Linked DNA regions of Oryctolagus cuniculus. The protein of the gene in region 2 purifies or fractionates together with the protein of the main gene of each other region. This does not show direct contact. Links are inferred from orthologs where the notes say so. Each region holds a gene or a part of one and is shown on either strand. Other genes may lie near its edges.

Region 1 (4,435 bases), on a different chromosome or scaffold from region 2:
TACTAATCCTGTTCATTCCAACATCAGAATAAATCCAGAATCTGAGCACTGCCGATCACTCCACCCACAGCGCTTAACAGGTCTCCAAGTTTCTGCTCTCCACTCCCCACAGTTCAGTTTCAACATTTTAAAAGGTTAAATCAGGTCACATCATAGCCTCTAGCATGATCTCCCCCTAGCTCATTCCACTTTTGGAATATGACTTCCTTGTTCTCCCTTGAACAAGTATGTCATGCTTCTGCCTCATGGCCTTTGCACTGGGTCATTCCTTCTCCAAGCTATCTGCATGGCACACTCGCTTGCCCCATTTATGCCTTTGTTTAAATGTCAATGTCCAACTGAGGTCTTCCCTTAACATCCTGTTTGGCCGGCGCCGCGGCTCACTAGGCTAATCCTCCACCTTGCGGTGCCGGCACATGGGGTTCTAGTCCTGGTCGGGGCGCCGGATTCTGTCCCGGTTGCTCCTCTTCCAGGCCAGCTCTCTGCTGTGGCCAGGGAGTGCAGTGGAGGATGGCCCAAGTACTTGGGCCCTGCACCCCATGGGAGACCAGGAGAAGTACCTGGCTCCTGCCATCGGATCAGCGCGGTGCTCCAGCCACAGCGCGCCGTCCTTGGCGGCCATTGGAGGGTGAACCAACGGCAAAAGAAGACCTTCCTCTCTGTCCCTCTCTTACTGTCCACCCTGCCTGCCAAAAAAAATAAAAAAACAAACAAAAAAAATCCTGTTTAAAATTGTAATCTATTTTCCCACTCTAGGGTTTCTACTCCCTCCTGGTTTGCTCTATTTTTATTTTTAGACATGGCCCTTATCGCTTTCTAACAAACTACATTAAGTATTTATTATGTTTACTGTGATCCCTCATTAGAATGGAAGTTTCATGTGGTAGCAAGGTTGATTTTTGCCTTACGGCGGCATCCCCGACACCTACAACAATGCCTAGCACACAGTATGTACTCAGCAAGTATGTGCTGAATTAGTGCTTAAATGACTTAGGAGTAAGAAAAACTGATAATCCCCCATGTCAATGCACTGTGCTTATTCTACGGTTTGGAAGGCTCCAGGGTTCTGATCCAATCTGGAGGCAGTCATTCACCTGCCTGAGAAATCAGGGAACAAGGTGCTAGTAGAAGAACACTAGGGTGTGTTACATTCAGTCAACCCACTCCAGCTCAGGGGGATGCATCTGGGGAAGAGAAGGCCTGAATTAGGAATCCATTCTAATGGCTCAGGGAAGAGATGATGAGAGCGTGAAAAATATTTACCACACAAGAGGGAAAGATGGATGTCGGGGACAGCGGAGATCAGATTTTTAGGTTTGTGGGTTTGGTAGCTGAACACAAAGAGCGAGTTACAGACATAGCACACTGGGAGAAGCCTGCTTGGGAGTGGACCTAGGGAGATGAGATGAGTCTTCTCCACTTAGTTTAACACTCGCTTTGGCAGTTCATTAATGAACAACTAACATGAGTAAGGCAAAAAACTTACTTAGGGGTACAGAGCAGTGGATTATAAACAAAAAGAATCCTAAAAGCAGATCATTGTTTATATTCCCATTTACCAGCAGCGCTGAGCTGCACTTTGAACAGCCCGACTCCCTTTTAAGGAAGAAGGTAGGGACATCTTCTCAGGGGTTAAAATTTCGAAATCCATGGTGGACCAGAAGATACATATCTACAAAGATTCCTATGACTTCAACAACTTGCCCCATTTCATTGGAAAATAACTTCAGTTTTGGGCACTTTTAAGAGAGGCCTATCCTAAAGATCCCTAACAAAGGCTTAGCGACCAAATATTAGTTCAAGCCAGCCTTTACGGAACTGGCAGTTTTCATCGGCACACCTTCACACCTCACCTGGGACATTTTCTCTATTGATCTTCGGTCTGCGGATGATCACGAAGTCTTTCTCATTGCCTTTGCTCTTCAGGCGTTTCCGCGGGGGGCTCTGTGGGTGGCCCACATTGGAGAGCAGTTCCTGGGGGATGTTTTCACTGTCCACTTCCTCCTTCTCCAGGGCGGAGACCCCCATGCCTGACAGCAGTTCAGAAGTCTTGCTGGAATCCCATCCCCACGTGAAACTAGTGGTGACGTTGCCACTCTGGTCTGGAATCTCCTGGAGGTGTTTCCTGCAGAAGCACACAATACCCTCGGTTCCTTTCTGAAGTACACCCGTGAGGACTTCCAAGGTGGGCACAAAGCAAGCTACAGGTTACACCCGGTAGGAAACCGTCGCCGCAGCTAACAGAACGGCACTTTTTACGTGCCCGCGGCGAGTTCCCCGGCAACGAAGGAGAAAGTAACCGGAAAAAATCGAAAAGGCTTTTCGATTTGCGGTCAAGCAGAAGGCCCCGAGAATTTCTTCCAGGGGAGAGAACAAGGAAAGTACAAGGGCGATCACACAGTGATTGAAACCGGCCGCGGGGAAGCCAAATAAAGCGGGACACCGATTCCCGCACCAAGGCGGCCATCCACCCGCACTTTCCCCAAGAAAGGTCTATTCTACAACGGCATTAATAACAATATTAGTTAAGCAGCAGTATCTGCGGCCTAAAAGAATTAAGATGGTCCATTCATACTCTCCTCCTTTTTGCAAACGGCTTACCTGTGCATGGCGTCCACAGGTTCGGATGTTTTAAATTACCTGCATTAACTGCAGAGCTGCCCGCCTCCTAGATTCCCGCTTTGGCGCGCAGCGGCTCGAAGAGTGCGGCTCCGGCCCCCGGCGCCAGACCCGCGAACTCTAGTAACGTTCCATCCTCGCCGCGCGCGCAGGGTTCTTCTGCCCGCTCGCCTCGCCGGCGGCCGTCTGCAGCCCCGCAGCCTGCTGGGAATTGTAGTCCCGCCTCGTAGTCTGACTGGCTCTTGCTACTTCCTTTTCTTACAGCTCTGCCCGCCCTCTGGATACCCACAACCCCACGCGGTGCGGGGATGCTCGGCCCACGGGGTAGGCGGGGAAGCGGAAGTGGGCGGTGCTTCGGCTGACTGGGAAATGTCAGCCACCTAACTGCTGACGGGTTTTCATCCCCAGACAGCCCTCGGGCCTGCTGGTGACAGCCACCGCCGTCGCGTCCGAGCGTGGGTCCCAGAGCCTGGACTGCCGTGGCGGACACGGAGTTTCCCGTCCCTTCCACATGCTGTCGAGCGAGATCGGACGGTGAGCCTGAAGGAAAGCGCATGAGACTCTCTGGGGTCTGGGCTCGGGGGATCGAGCGCAGCGGGAGATGGAGAGGGGACCCGGGAGACCCCGAGTAGCCGCCACCACGGGGCCCCCGGCCCTCGCCGCCGAGGGAGGGTAGTAGCCTGGACCACCGGCCGGGTGGGAGGCGGCGAGCTGCGGGCGTCCCACCTGCGCGTTCCTCCGACCGGGACGATCTCCACCTGGGAGAAGGCGGCCCCTAGACTACTGGGTCAGTGGACAGGATCCTTGCCTCGTTAGTAAAACAGCCACGACAACAATGACGCACATCGGAGAGAGAACGCGTGTGAAAGCGTTTTGTAAACGGAAGGGCAATTCCAAGTCGCAGCCGTGGTTTAATTTTTTGGGGGGAGGGGCGGCGACCACAGGTTCCAGGGTGCCTTAGGGAAGACGCGCACCCCCCTGGCGGCCTCGACAGGTCTCTTAAATATTAGCATGGCAGTAGGTGAGAGGACTGTTAGGTTTGTAGGGAGCTTGACCGGTGCAACGCAAGGGGCCACCTGCAAAGCCTTTCGGTTGCATCCGTTTGTGTCGCCGCCTCAAAGCGAGCTGCATTTTTAGCCTATCTCTGAGGAGAAGAGATTGGAGGCGGTTGGAGTAGAGAACGTGCCATATTCCAGGTCGGATGACCAGGCGAAATCCATTGTGCAACCCTACTACAAGTGTGATCCCGGGCAGACAGTGGAAGAGGGGAGGGGGGATGGATTCCAACCCTAACGCAGATGAAGAGGATTTATAAATTTCAGAAGTAAGCAGGCCAGCTTGATCAAACGACATACCCTCGCGGTTTTCTGGAAAAACGTTGAAAGATTCTCTTTATGCTGGAATTAAACCTCCCTTGCCCCGGCTGGTGCTTGTGCCAGACTTGGTACTTAGTTTGAAAAGGCACTGCCTCTTGATGGAGGCAGGTGTTTATGAACCTTTAATCTGTTCTAGAAAGTGGGACCGTTGTAAAGAAGGCGTCTGTTCACAAATCGTTTGGTCCTAGGTGAAGAACACTAGACTGAGTGTTCACAATGCATTACGATAATGTTCTATATAGTATATATATATATATATATTTTTTTTTTTTTTACAGGCAGAGTGGATAGTGAGAGAGAGAACAGAGAGAAAGGTCTTCCTTTGCCGTTGGTTCACCCTCCAATGGCCGCCGCTGCAGCCGGCGCACCGCGCTGATCCGATGGCAGGAGCCAGGATCCAGGTGCTTTTTCCTGGTCTCCCATGGGGTGCAGGGCCCAAG
Region 2 (4,434 bases):
TCTCTCTGTCTTTCACTGTCTAACTCTATTTGTCAAATAAAAAAATTATAAAAAAATTAACATGAAGGGGAATTTTTACATATACCAAATTTAACAATAAAATGGGTCTTGTAAGTATTTAATTAAACATGAAATCTATGCATGGTTTGCAATTTCTTAATTTTTATAGCTATAAGTTTTGCTTCTAGATCTTTGAGCTTCATTTTACAATTTGGTTTCTTTGCCTAAGAGAGGTTCAAACAATATTATCACTGGGGGCAGTCACATCTGGCACTTTCAGTTTGATTCATCAAACTCCTACACTACTGGGGCTGAGACAGTTTGCTGCAAAGAGATACGTGTGTTTGGTTTCCTTTACTGCCTTCCCTGTCATAGAGGTTATCCAATCTCTGAATCTATGCCTTCCAAATATCTTACATTATTTTCATTAGTCACTCTCTGGCTTTGAAGTCTACAGGGGCGTCCTGTTGTCTGTCCAGTCAAATTTGCTCTCTTGAGACCTAATTTTTAGGGCACCATAGTCGGCTTCTACCCCACAAAGTCAATTTGCATTTCTCTTATTTCAAGAACTCTTGATGAGAGAATTGAGGTGCTTAGAACCTTGGCTGTGCCCTACTACTAGCTGGATATGAGGCTCTACATGTTTATGTCCATAAATTTAGACTATGTTTTCCAACATGGTAAGCCATTTACCACACATGGCTTTTTAAATTAAATGAAATTAATTTAGTTTCTCCATTGCAGTAGGCACTTACCCAGCATTCAACAGCCAGAAGAGGCTCATGTTTGTGGGAGTGAACATTCCCATCAATGCCAGGAAGTCCTACTGGGGCAGGACTGGTACGACACGCCTGTGCCATTTGTGTGAGTGGGTATGCATGTGGCTGATGAGCCCGCACAGAGTGACAAAGATAACCCAGGCATTTGAGTCATTTTAAGTTGAAATCCTATGATAAGCAGTCACTAGGATTTCAGGCAAGCAGTCTAAACCTTTTTTGACCTCAGTTTACCCATCTCTAAAAATGGGACTAATGATAATCACGACCTTGCAGTGTAGTTTTAGGAGTGTTTGGTAGTTTGAGTTTCTGACACTAAACATCCCAGAAGGATGAGATTCGCAGGGTACTACAACCGTTAGGAGGAAAACACCGAGACTGAGAAAGCGAGCAGTGGGCTCTGCCATGGCGTCAATATTGTGACTTAAACCTACACAGTCTGCCTGCCTTTCTCCTCCCCGGTCTCTCGACCCCGCTCGACAGCTTTGCTTTACGTTTCTTCTTAGCACCGTACCTGGCTTAGTCATTTGCTTATCCGCTTTCTTCTCGCTACTCAGAGTTTGGGATACAGTAGGTACCCAATAATGTTTGAACTTGGACGCGTCTCTTAACCTGAGTCACCGTTCCCACTTCAGAGTGAGGATAATAATAAAAACTGCTGCTGAGGCGGCTCCAGAGCAGAGGGAGCTAAAATGAGCCGAGCAAATTTGGATCTGCAGACGAACGCCAGCTTGGGTGGAGTATTCACCAGCTCTAACCCACCGTGAGACCACGGCTCACGCCCAGCCTGACCAAGCGCGTTCCCTTCCCGCCTCCGGCTCTCCCGCCTCCGCCTCGGGCGGGGGCCGGAAGTGCAGCCACTTCCGCCGGGCGCCGCGGGGTGGAGGGGCGCGCGGAGATGACGCAGGCAGCACCGGAAGCCGCTCCCCCGTGAGGCTGCGGACCCCGAAAGGCGGCCGCAGGGCCAGGTCTGTGTACGAGGCGGGGCCGATCGGGGCGGGGTGGGGGGGATCTCGAGTGTCCGCGCCCCTGCTGACCCGCTGCGCTTCGGGCTGTTTGTCTTTCTCTTCCCTGCAGGCGCCATGGCTGCGGAGCGGACCCGGCCGCTGCGAGGCTCTGGCGGCCCGAGCGCGCCTAGTCGGTGTGAACCCGGCGCGAGGTCCCAGGCCCCGGGGCACTCGCTCAGGTCAGTGCCGCGCGGAACACGGCTCCGGGAGCCGAGGGCCTGGGAGCGACGAAGGGGTTGAAGGGATGTGGAGTTCATCTTAAGGGATGGGGAAATTGGGTCTCACAGTTAACTGCCTCCTCCTGCCTCAGTTTCCTTATCTGCGAGAGGAGTTAACAATGATGCCCGGGGCTACCAGGAATTTGAAAGATTAGGAAGCTTGGAGAGATGGTTTATGAGGTACAGAGCGGCGTACTAATATGAGGGCCTGCGCCATAATTGTGGGTATGCCATGGAAACAGGTGTGTATGTGGGGTGCTGCGTGAGCACAGGCAAAGAACACATCGGTGCTAAGTAATAGCGGTAGCTGGCTTTTATCATGGGCTTCCAGCGTGCCGGGAACCGTACTAAACGTTTTACTGCATTATCCTGTTTAATCCTGCCGGAAACCCTTGTGAGTAGTGCTGTTCAGGGCTACGTTTTCCAAGTGAGGAAAGTGGACTTCAGATCGGTGGGGTGATTTGCCCAAAGGTCACCCAGCAGAAAGCGGAGTTGCAGAGCCCGTATTTTACAATCTAAACTCGTACTTGTGTTCTTTCCCAGCTGTCTGAGGTTCCTCTTAAAACCGGAGGCTGTTTTTAGGGAGTTTATTCACGTGGCTTTAAATTCAAAATAGTGTACGATCAAAAGGGACCCCACATCCCTGTTCCTCAGCTCTCCACTTCCCTCTGGAGGTAACCAGTGTTAAGGGTTTCTTGAATATCCAAAATGTATTTTAAGCGTATGTAAGTTGGAGAGTGTATACTGGTTTTCAAAGCCTGGGTGCTATGTAAGTGATTATGTTTGATATGAAAAGATTGGCAAGATAAAGCCTCCTTCCTGACAGCTGCGGATGTGTTGCTTTCATTCCTCACCAGGCCAGGCCTTGGTGGAATGTGGGGGTGGTGGTGCAGACATTCACCTGGTTTTGCCGAGAATGTCATGTCACTGATAAGACCTGGAGTTGTAGGCCCTGTGTTGTTTTGCTTTGGGAGGGTGGGCCCTTAGGCCGCCTGCTATATCCTGTGCAACTCTGGGAAAGCCCTTCTACGTCTTAGGCCATGAGTTTCCCCGTCTGTTAGTTAGGGCATTAGTATTGATCCCTTTCACAAGGTTGTGAAGATTAAATGAGATAATGTTTATGAGTAGTACTTCCATCTTTAAAACCAATATAAATATGAGACTGGCCTATGGGGGCAAATATGAGTTAAAGGCAGAATCAGAGACCAAACTCAGGCTCTCATCTCCCAGCTTAAGAGACTTCATAGCTCCACCCACTTCCTCAGAGCTCTGTGATTGTTATTATTGTTAATGTTTAGTCTGAGGTGGGGAAAAATAAAAGGTCAAGACAGCAGGGTATGTGGGTAAGGGGGGAGAAAAAGGCACTTAGTGAGAAATTATAGCCTCAAGTCAGTAACTGCCCTTCGTTGTAAAATTATGCTCCCAGTAAGTTTGAGTCTGTGAGTTTTTCTTCTAGATGTTTTTAAGAGAAACTTTGCCATAAGATCATAGGATTCAAAGGGACCCATCCAGCCTCAGTGTCACAGAAAGCTTGCCTGCCAAGTATTCCTAGTAATAAAGCTAACAGCAAATACCATGTCAGTTATCCTGGACTGGGGACTGTGCTGAGCAGATTCCTGCCTTATTGCTGGTTCTCACAGAGCTGGAGTTGAGTGACAGCTTCCATTTCACAGATGACAGGCGAAGGTTAGAAGTGCGTGAGCATGCCCCTGATCGCACAGGAAGCAGCTTAGTCAGTAAAAGGTTCAGCTGACTGCAGTGCATTTTCGTTTGTCTGGTTCTGTCTCCATATCCAGCAGTCTTGACTGTTCGTAGGAATGGGAAGCTCACCATTCTGGAGGCAGCTTCTCCATTGTTGTGAAGTTCTGATGATTTAAAAGCTCCTTCTTACACTGAATTGAAATCCCATTTCCTGAGCTCCCCCCTGGGGACCATGTGCTACCAGTACATGATATTCCTAGAGACTCTGAGAGTTCAGTTTAGATCTGTGACCTCACCAAAGTCCCTTCCAAAACTAGTTGATTCTTTTAAAAGAGTAAAACTTGGTGACTTAAAAAAATCTTTCTTTTTCTTTTTAATTTGAAAGCATAAGCTCCCATTCACTAGTTCATTCCCCAAATGCCCACAAAGGCCAGGGCTGGCCCAGAGTGAGGAGCCCAATCCAGCTGTTGGCCCATGCGAGTGGTAGGAACCCAATTACTTGAGCCATTACCACTGCCTCCCAGGGTCTGCATTAATGAGAAGCTGGAGTCAGGAGCTGGAGCTAGGAATTGAACCCAGATACTCTGATATGGGATGCAGGCATCTTAATTGCTAAGCTAAATACCCACTCGCTATTTAATAGTGCATTCTGCGGAGTTGTAGGACCTATTCTTCTTCTTTTGAAATACCTTTTTCAAAATAGAGATGAAGAACTGGGAAACTACCCCTACA

The links.
Region 1: the proteins of FBXW2 (region 2) and SKP2 purify together in Homo sapiens (affinity purification with western blotting; 4 studies listed by BioGRID). This does not show direct contact. The link is inferred for Oryctolagus cuniculus from reciprocal best matches to the Homo sapiens genes FBXW2 and SKP2.

What each region holds. Positions count from the first base shown.
Region 1 is NC_091445.1:61,711,823-61,716,257, reverse strand, and holds the start of SKP2 (S-phase kinase-associated protein 2), read right to left. Parts: upstream 2,844-4,435; 5' UTR 2,610-2,843; coding exon 2,602-2,609; intron 2,126-2,601; coding exon 1,854-2,125; intron 1-1,853. UniProt on the Homo sapiens protein: Substrate recognition component of a SCF (SKP1-CUL1-F-box protein) E3 ubiquitin-protein ligase complex which mediates the ubiquitination and subsequent proteasomal degradation of target proteins involved in cell cycle progression, signal transduction and transcription.
Region 2 is NC_091432.1:224,716,685-224,721,118, reverse strand, and holds the start of FBXW2 (F-box/WD repeat-containing protein 2), read left to right. Parts: upstream 1-1,607; 5' UTR 1,608-1,744; intron 1,745-1,853; 5' UTR 1,854-1,962; intron 1,963-2,374; exon of another isoform or gene 2,375-2,395; intron 2,396-4,434. UniProt on the Homo sapiens protein: Substrate-recognition component of the SCF (SKP1-CUL1-F-box protein)-type E3 ubiquitin ligase complex.